2 linked regions of the Canis lupus familiaris genome follow. The protein of the gene in region 2 purifies or fractionates together with the protein of the main gene of each other region. This does not show direct contact. Links are inferred from orthologs where the notes say so. Each region holds a gene or a part of one and is shown on either strand. Other genes may lie near its edges.

The links.
Region 1: the proteins of DNAJB1 (region 2) and PYCR3 purify together in Homo sapiens (affinity purification with mass spectrometry; 3 studies listed by BioGRID and IntAct, with this or other methods). This does not show direct contact. The link is inferred for Canis lupus familiaris from reciprocal best matches to the Homo sapiens genes DNAJB1 and PYCR3.

What each region holds. Positions count from the first base shown.
Region 1 is NC_049234.1:38,005,811-38,010,292, forward strand, and holds the start of PYCR3 (pyrroline-5-carboxylate reductase 3), read right to left. Parts: upstream 2,818-4,482; 5' UTR 2,788-2,817; coding exon 2,688-2,787; intron 900-2,687; coding exon 835-899; intron 247-834; coding exon 67-246; intron 1-66.
Region 2 is NC_049241.1:48,526,179-48,530,435, reverse strand, and holds the start of DNAJB1 (dnaJ homolog subfamily B member 1), read right to left. Parts: upstream 2,882-4,257; 5' UTR 2,790-2,881; coding exon 2,579-2,789; intron 1,383-2,578; coding exon 802-1,382; intron 494-801; coding exon 263-493; 3' UTR 1-262. UniProt on the Homo sapiens protein: Interacts with HSP70 and can stimulate its ATPase activity. Stimulates the association between HSC70 and HIP. Negatively regulates heat shock-induced HSF1 transcriptional activity during the attenuation and recovery phase period of the heat shock response.

The sequences.
Region 1 (4,482 bases), on a different chromosome or scaffold from region 2:
TCTGGCCAGCAGAACGGACTCTGGGCTCAGAGCCTCAGCTCCCACACAACCCCACAGGCCACTCACCTCCTCCAGGGTGCTCAGAGACACTCCAGCAGCCACAGACACCAAGATGTGCTCAGTGGTTACCACAGAGGCCACCTCTGCCAGGACAGCTGGCAGGACATAGGGCTTGGTAGCAAAGAAGACCAGCAAGCAGCTCTGCAGAACCTCCTGGTTGGAGTGGGTGGTCTGGCAGCCCAGAGCCTGCAATGGTGACAGTGGGATCAGGGCTGGGGTAAGTGGGACGGCCTCCCAGACTGTGGCACTTCCCGCGGGAGGCCACCCTGCAGCCCCAGGGGTCCCCGTGGGTCTCTCCCATTGCGAATGCCTGCACCACCCCCACTCCCACTGCCTAAGACTCACCCAGACCATCCGTCTGGCTCAGGACCCCTGACCCCTGACGTCAGCACTTCCTCATGCCCTCTGACCCCAGTTAGTGCCCACAACCGTCTCTGCCCAACCCAATGCATGGGTACACGTGTGTGTATGTACATGCACATGCACACATACCCCCTTTACTCTGCACATGCACACATACCCCCTTTACTCTGTCCTAGCATCCCCCACAACCTCGACTTTCCTTCTGGTCTTTGACCTGACCTCCTCTTCCCCAGCCCAGCCAGTCTCAAAAGTTTACCTAAACAAGCAGCACTAAAATAATAATAATAATATTAATTAATTAATTAATTAACAAGCAGCACTTCCCTGGACCCAAGAACTGTCTCAGGAGCCAAGAGCCTCCATGAACCCCCCAGGACAGCCTCAATGCAGAAGAGCTGAGGCCCAGCCCACCTGGAAGTGGCAGAGGTTCCTGTCACTCGGTGCACTGGCCACTATGTGCTGAGCTTCTACTTTTCCTGGAGAGAAAGGCAAAAGCAGAAGGGTCGGTGAGGATGTGGAGTGGAAGGAAAGAAGAGCAGGAACCAGCCTGGCTGCCCCTTACTGGCTTCTGCTCAGCCATGCCCAGGCCATCCTGGCCCCAGCTGGCCTGACGCTCTGTAAGAACCCAAGTGATTGGCAGGGGTGCTGCGTGCAGCCGGGACCAGGCACTCCGCTCCATTCTCTGCTGCTGCCGAGTCCAGAGGCTCTGCTAGACACAGGGGCCCAGAGCTTGCCTAGTCTCATGAGGACTCCATCTCAGGGGCCTGTGCCTCTGGGGACAGGAAGGCGGGGACAGAGCCGGGGCAGGGTGGGGAGGGAGGCCCAGTAGGTGCTGAGCTTCCCTGGGAGTGGGGTGTGTGTCTGTGTTGGGATGTCCAAGCAGGGGCTAAATCCCCATTTGGTAGAAATTATCTGCATTTGTGGGGTGCAGGGCTGGGGAGATTACACTTCTGTAAGGTCTACCAGGAAGGCAGAAGTGCGCCCCACAACCCGAACACCGAGCCAGTGAGTTGTGACAGCGACCACCTCCAGGTGTGCCTACGCGGAGTATGGTGAACCTGCACAGCCCTGGGAGGAAGGTGATACTGCAGAGTTGTACACCTAAAGCACCTGAGACTTGCCATAAACTATTTTCTGATGATTTTCACCCTTCTGGACCGTGACTGTGGAGGACGGCAGAAAGCCAGCCCAGAATCTACACATGACGGTTTCCAAATCCCCTGGAGTAAGACTAGGACGTGCCTCACCGTGAACCAACCGTTCTCCCCCAGGGAGGTCCTGGCCTCCAGGCCCCAGGGCACGTGTGCAACCTCGAGACAGTTCCGGCTGTCCTAACTGGGGGGTGCTACCAACATCAAGGGGGGACAGACCAGGAAGGTAGCTCAACACCCTACGGTGTGAAGGATGAAGAACCATCCCCCGCCCATGCCCATCAGGAGGTGGACCACGCCTGCAGCCCGCCAAGGGGTGCAGCTGCTGCACACATCACATCGGAAACAGAATCAGAGTCTCGAAGGTCAAACCACCCGAGGCCGGAAGGAAACCAGAAGTTGGTGGGAGATCCCCGGGGGCAAAGGTAGCACCGTCCAAGAACAATACTACTGGGACCAAAGACCCAGCTTCACACTTTCTAGTTGCCATGTTAAAAGCAAGTAAGAAAAAAAAGGTAAAGTTAATTGTAATATATTTTATTTAACCCCATGTAAACAAAATACTATCCTTCCAAATATCAGTTTTAATCAGCATTAAAAATTACTAAAATATGTTACGTTCTCGTAAATCTTCCAAACTCAAAATCTTATTCTACAAACTCGCAGCACCCTAGGCTTGGACCACCCACGTCGCAAGCGCTGGCGGTGGGCACGCGGCTCACCGGGACAAGCAGCCCTGGCGCCCCACGCGCACCCTGCTGCCGTGCCCAGCGAAGGAGAGGTGGTCCTGCTGCGCCCTTACCACTCCCCGCGGAGGGCTCCCTGGTGACCCCCGCCCAGAGCCTCCGCTCCGGGACGTGAGCTCCGGGCAGGTGAGCTCCGAGCAGGTGAGCTCCGCGCAGGTGAGCTCTAGGAGGTGAGCCCCGGGCAGGTGAGCTCCGGGCAGGTGACCTCCGGGCAGGTGAGCTCCCGGCAGGTGAGCTCCGGGCAAGTGAGCTCCCGGCAGGTGAGCTCCGGACAGGTGAGCCCTTCCCGCGTACACCCGGCCGGCGTGGGACGCCCGCTGGCTCCCAGGCCCGGGGACCCACGCGCCCCACGCCCGCGGCGCCCCACCTGCTCGGATGAAGCCCTGCGCGATGGCCTCGGCCATACGTCCCGCGCCCACAAAGCCCACGCGGAGCGGACCCGGACCAAGCGCCGCCGCCGCCGCCATGTCTTCACCGCGGCCTGACCTGGCCCCGCCCATGTCGCCGCAGCGCCCCCCCGCCCGTCGATTGGCTGCCGGGACCTCACGCCCCGCCCACTCCCTTCCGGGCTCCGCGGCGAGCCCCTACCCCGGCCGCTTATTGGTCCGAGCGGGCGCGGTGCCGCAGGCTGGGGGCGGGGCGCCGCGAGGAAGTGGGCGTGGCCTGGCGCTCCGCGGAAGGCGCGGCCCCGGGCGGAGGGCGGGAGCGGCGGTGGAGGGGTCGGGCCGCGTGGAGCCGGGCGGACCCTGCTTTCCCAGGGGCAGCTTGAGAGGCTCCGTTCAACGAAGGGCCGGAAAGGGTGGGGGGCCCTGTGCGTCCGGGCGGTCCGCGCCCTGGAGCACGCCCGGTGGGGTCCCCGCGGGGACGCGGCGGAGTCCCGGAAAGCCCCGGCGGCCGGCCGCTGCGCAGCTGAGCTCCCGGGGAAGGAGCATCCGCCCCGATTCCGGTGAAAGACCCGGGCACGCAAGGCCGGCGCCTGGGGAGCTGGGGAGTGAGTGCAGCCCGCCGGCCTGGGCCGGGTTCTCCGGCGGGAACCGCGCCCTCGGGGCGCCCTGGGCCCTGGAGCCTGATGGCGGGGGCAGCTGCGGAGCGAGGGCCGCGGGGCCGGGCGGGCTGGCGAGCTGCAGCGGCTCCAGGCCCTGAAACGTGTGAGCCGGCCTGTCGCTTCTCTGCACCCGAAGTTCTTCAGCCAGCCTGGATCCTGCGAGAAGGCAGGAGGGGCCTTCCTGAGGCCTGGGTCCCCAGCGGAGACCTTGTTGGTGCTGGGGTGGGGGCGCTGATGGAGTGCTCGGCCGCGCAGGAGCCCGTTTGAAACTGACCAGAGGGTAGGGTAGGGGTGGGAGGACTTGTGATTTTCTTTTTTTAAGATTTTTTTTTTATTTATTCAGAGAGAGAGGCAGAGACACAGGCAGAGGGAGAAGCAGGCTCCATGCCCGGAGCCCGACTTGGGACTCAATCCCGAGTCTCCTGGATCACACCCTGGGCTGCAGGCGGAGCTAAACCGCTATGCCACGGGGGCTGCCTGTACTTGTAATTTTTAATTGACACGGGAACAATGAGGCTTGAAGATCTAACATTGCAGGGTATTCTTTATGATTGCATCTGAAAATGTTTTGTTATTCTGGAGACGCCTGGGTGGCTCAGCAGTTGAGTGTCTGCCTTTGGCCCAGGGTGTGACCCCGAGGGTCCTGGGATCGAGTCCCGCATCCGGCTCCCTGCAGGGAGCCTGTTTCTCCCTCTGCCTGTGTCTCTGCCTCTCTCTATCTGCCTCTCATGAACAAATAAAATCTTTTAAAAAATATTTTGTTATTCTAAACTCTACTTTGACACATTCTTAGCTCTTCAACAATCAAATCTCATTCATTCAACACTACCCTGGTGGTGGGTCAGCCCGCTGTGGGCAGGGGATAAAGGCCATACAGCAGCAGACTATAGGCAGCTGAGCCCGCACTTGGGGGACCTGCATTCTGGCTGGGGACACAGCCCCCTGCAATGAACACACACTGCAGGACACATGGCCAGTTTCTGTCCTGCCAGGTGTGTCCGGGCCTCTCCGCCACACTGGGCCTCCCTCTGAATATTCTCACGTGGCTGACTCAAGCTCCAGCTCAGGCACCACCCCCTTCCCGGAACCCCACAGGAGCAGAGCCTCCACTCCCCGG
Region 2 (4,257 bases):
GAGGGCTGCAGGACCCAGTGGCACAGACTGGAATGCCTTTTCCTGCTGTCCCCACCACCTGCAGCCCTATCGCTCGAAAAACCACTTAAGTCTAGTGCACGACTTTGAAAGATTGTAATATATTCTCTGGAAAACATTCAGCAGTACGAAAGCCCTCCCTGGGCCCTCCCGCCCTCTCACGGGTCCACAACTGGTGGAACGGTCCGGAAATCCTTGAGCTCTGGAAAGGTCCCTGGTTAGTCCTTGGGAGACACAGGTGGCTCTATATTGGAAGAACCTGCTCAAGTACGGTTCTTGACGTCTGGGGAATCCTTTCGGGGAAGATTACTTCAAACTCAATAATGAGGTCCCCGCGTTTCTCGGGTGTTTTGGGGAGGGGGAGGCCTTCTCCAGGAACTTTTCGCCGCATGCCAGGCCTGATGACATCTTTAAACACGACGGGGATGCTCCTGCCGTCCAGAGTGGGTACATTCACCGTGCAGCCACACAGAGCCTTGAAGAGCAAAGAGAACGTTAGATGAAAAATAGCTTAGGATGCTCAATTCCTGCCCAGAAGCTGTTTGATAGAGGGGAAGTGCCATCAGGCCCCTGCAGCTAAGACCCTGCCCCAGATCTACCCAGGTCACTAGCTAGCATGTTAATCTCTGGAAAAACAGAACCCTGGTCAGTCTTATTTTTGCTCTTATTTTACCCTTCAAGCCTGGCTCCAAAGTGCTCAGAAAGATCTGTCAAGCAGATACCCAACAGCTTCAAAAACCAACCATCTCCCTCCATACTGTACCCTACTAATTAGTAGCCTACCTCCCGAAGGCTGATCCTGGCTGGGTAAATGACATCAGAGCCATCTCTCTTAAAGATATTGTGTGGCTTGTCCTTTAAAACAAAGACAATATCAGCTGGAATGTTGTTGGAGGTCTGGTCGCCTTCCTTAGGGAAGGTGATTTTGGTCCCTTCTTTCCACCCCCGCTTCACTTCGATGGTCAAGATCTTGTCTTCGTTGCGAATGCTCTTTCCATCGGGGTTCAGTCGCTTGTGGGAGATTTTCATCTTCTTGGTACAGCCGCTATAGATCTCTTCAAGCGAGACCCTAAGGTCGTGGGTGACGGGGGGATCTTGCTTCTTTCGGGTGGGCTCTTGAGCGGGACGGGAACGGCCAAAGTTCATGTTGGTGAAGCCACCCATGCCCATGGGGAAGCTAGAGAATGGGTCATCAATGTCCATGCCTTCCTCCCCATTCCGCTGCCCAAAAAAGGTGTCAAAGGGATTTCGGCCACCGAAGAACTCAGCAAACATGGCATGAGGGTCTCCATGGAATGTGTAGCTGAAAGAGGTACCATTAGCACCACCGCTGCTGCCACCACTGGGGCCACCACCCTTTAGGCCTGAAAGGCAAAATCAGGAGAAATGAAATGGTTGGCAGTGAGCCTCTCTCTCTCACTAAAAGAAAAAAGCTTGAGAACCATAAATGATGGGGAGGAGGGGGAGGAATTTTATTAGCCTATCAGAAGAGAGTAAGGAAAAACCCTAAGGTTTTAACCCCCCACTGCAGCAACAGAGTTGGGACTCCCCCCTCCAGGTACTTCACTGTGCCAGGGCAGTGGCAAAGGGCTCAAGTGCCCTCTCCAGGGGCCACCAAATTCCTGCCACTTCTTGACTGCCCTATCCTCCCCTCAAGGATATGAAAACTTACCAAAAATTCATTAAAAGATCAGATTAAAAAGAAACCCCCTCCAGAATCTGTGCTCAGTGTTTACTCTTAGAAATACTTGGGAGCTAAGGATGTGTGCGGAGCACAAGTGAAAGCCAAACCATAAATGCAGCTTTTCAAATTCTCACACCCTGGCACTAATTGCCACCATCCTTACATAAAAAGCCACTTCATTTCTTAAGACCCAGCCCAGAAACCAGTCTGAGTCATCCACGGGCAACTGGACAAGACAGCTTCCTTCCCTTGGCCTGAGAGGCCTGCGCCGAGGAGGCCGGGCAGAGGCGGGTCCCGCCGCTCCCTGCACCTGGACTGCGCTCGGGCGCTGGCTGCCTTCTACGTGTCTGGCACCAGGTTAGGTAAGCACTTTACGGGGATTACCTCACTCCGCCCTCACAGGGGCCCCGGAGCGAGGTCGGCGCTAATCGGCGCGCTCACCCGCAGGCTCGCCACTCGCAGGTCGTGCCGGCGCGCAGCCAGAGGCCCCCCCGGCCCCCCTGCACGCCCCGGCCTGCCACCTCCGCCCAGGTGCGCCCCGGCCCGCTAGGGCGCGGTGCTACGGGCCGGCTCAGCCTCAGTGGCCCCCTCCGTCCGCACTGCACCCCCAGCACTGCTCGGGGACGTGGGTGGAGGAGCCTAGGGAGGGGCGACCGCAGACGTGCTAGAAGCTTCTGGGCAAGCAGCGCGGCCAGGACTCCTCCTCCCATCGGACGGCCGCCAATCCGAGGGCGGAGGCCCGCGTGGCCGGAGGGCGGGGGCCGCTCGCCCACCGGGCCCGGGGCGTCCCCCGGGGCTGCCACAGCCCGGCCGCCGGGCCTCGGTTTCCCCTCCTGTCAAACGGCGGGGCGCGCCCCTGGCCGCGCGCGCACGCACCTTCTTCCCCGTAGCGGTCAAAGATCTCGCGCTTGCGCGGGTCGCTGAGCACGTCGTAGGCCTCGGCGATCTCCTTGAACTTCTCCTCGGCGCCGGGCTCCTTGTTCTTGTCCGGGTGGTAGCGTAGCGCCTGGCGGCGGTAAGCCCGCTTGATTTCCTCGTCCGACGCGCCGCGGGCTAGGCCCAGCGTCTGGTAATAGTCCTTGCCCATAGCCCCCGCCTGCGGCCCGCCGCCCAGCTGTCGCCGTACCCCGGCTTCGCCGCCGCCCCGTCCCGGACCCTATATACCCGTCCGGCGGAAGCTTCCAGAGCCCGCCAGCCCCCTCCAGAACCTTCCGCCCCGCCCCCCGCACCGCTCCGACCAATCGCCGCCGCCCAGTCCGCGACGCGCGACGTCCGGGGCGGGGCCGCGCCGCCAACGGCCGCCCGCGCGCGGCCACGCCCCTTCCCGCTCCGTCCTCGGCAACGCCTCCCCGCGGCGCGCGCACCGAGCTGCGGGGGCCCCGCCCACTTCGCGGGGAGCCAATCGCGACCTTCCTTCATTGCCCTCTCGGACCAGGCCGACGAGCCTGGGTCAACAGGTTACAACACGAGGCTCGGGAAGGGGCGGGGCTGCGTGCGGCCCCGCCCCTCAAGGCTGCCCCGCCCTTCCCCAGGTGACAGAACTGCTCGCCCACTGCTCACGGAGCACCCCCCTCCCGGGGCGATTCTGAGCAAGCTGACTAACCTTGCGGTGCCCTAGGTACCCCCACCCCGACTTCTGTAACAGGGGAATAAAAATACCTACCCACCCTCTTTTCCTGGCTGTGGGGAGAATACAATTAGGAGCCCCAGGACTGTGCCTGTCCTCACCATACGGGTTCCTACAAAGCAAGGTGAGGCCCCAGGACCAAAGCTCACCGCCCTGGTGAGATCTTCCCTCCAGGGAAAAAGGCTCCTCATGCCTTTCACTTTAGTATTCTCTTAAGAACACCTGCCACTGAAATCCAAAATTATCTTGTTCTTTGGTTTTCTTGCTAAATCCACCTCCCTCCCAGCCTGCAGTTGCCAGTATCTGGAACCCAGTCGCAGTGGACGCTTCATAAATATTCCTGTTTTTAATGCACCTGCTTTATTTTTCTCCCCACTACATTTATGATTTGGGGGGACACGGGTGTGTCATATACCTCTCAGGGCCTCTGTTTCCTCACTTGTGGGCAATATGATCCCCTTTGGCTCCAAGAGTCTGGGGTGCTTGTGGTCAAAGGGCTGATGGGGAAGGGAGGCTCAGAATGGGGTATCACCTGAGAAGGGGTAGGCAGTTGTGGTGGCTGAGGTGGAAGGTTCCTAGGAGAACTGCTTAGGAGGTCAGGGTGTGTGACACTGGCTCTGGAGCCAGCAGCAGATTTCATTCCCACTTTTAGCACTTCCTGGCTGCATGACCTTGGGCTGGTTACTGAGCCAGCTGGGGCCTCAGTTTCCTCATCTGTACAATGGGGGTAGCAGTTGTACCTGCCTTGTAAGTCAAGGTGTGCAGGACTGACCTGGCACAGAGGAAGTACTTTTAAAGGGGTGACTAACCATCTTGGTGAATAATGGGCTGCTCAGCCACCCCCTTCCTGGCAGCACCACAGCAAAAACACTTCTTGTGACTGCTGCCCTGGTATAAGCTGAGACTTCTGAGAAAGAAGATCATGGCT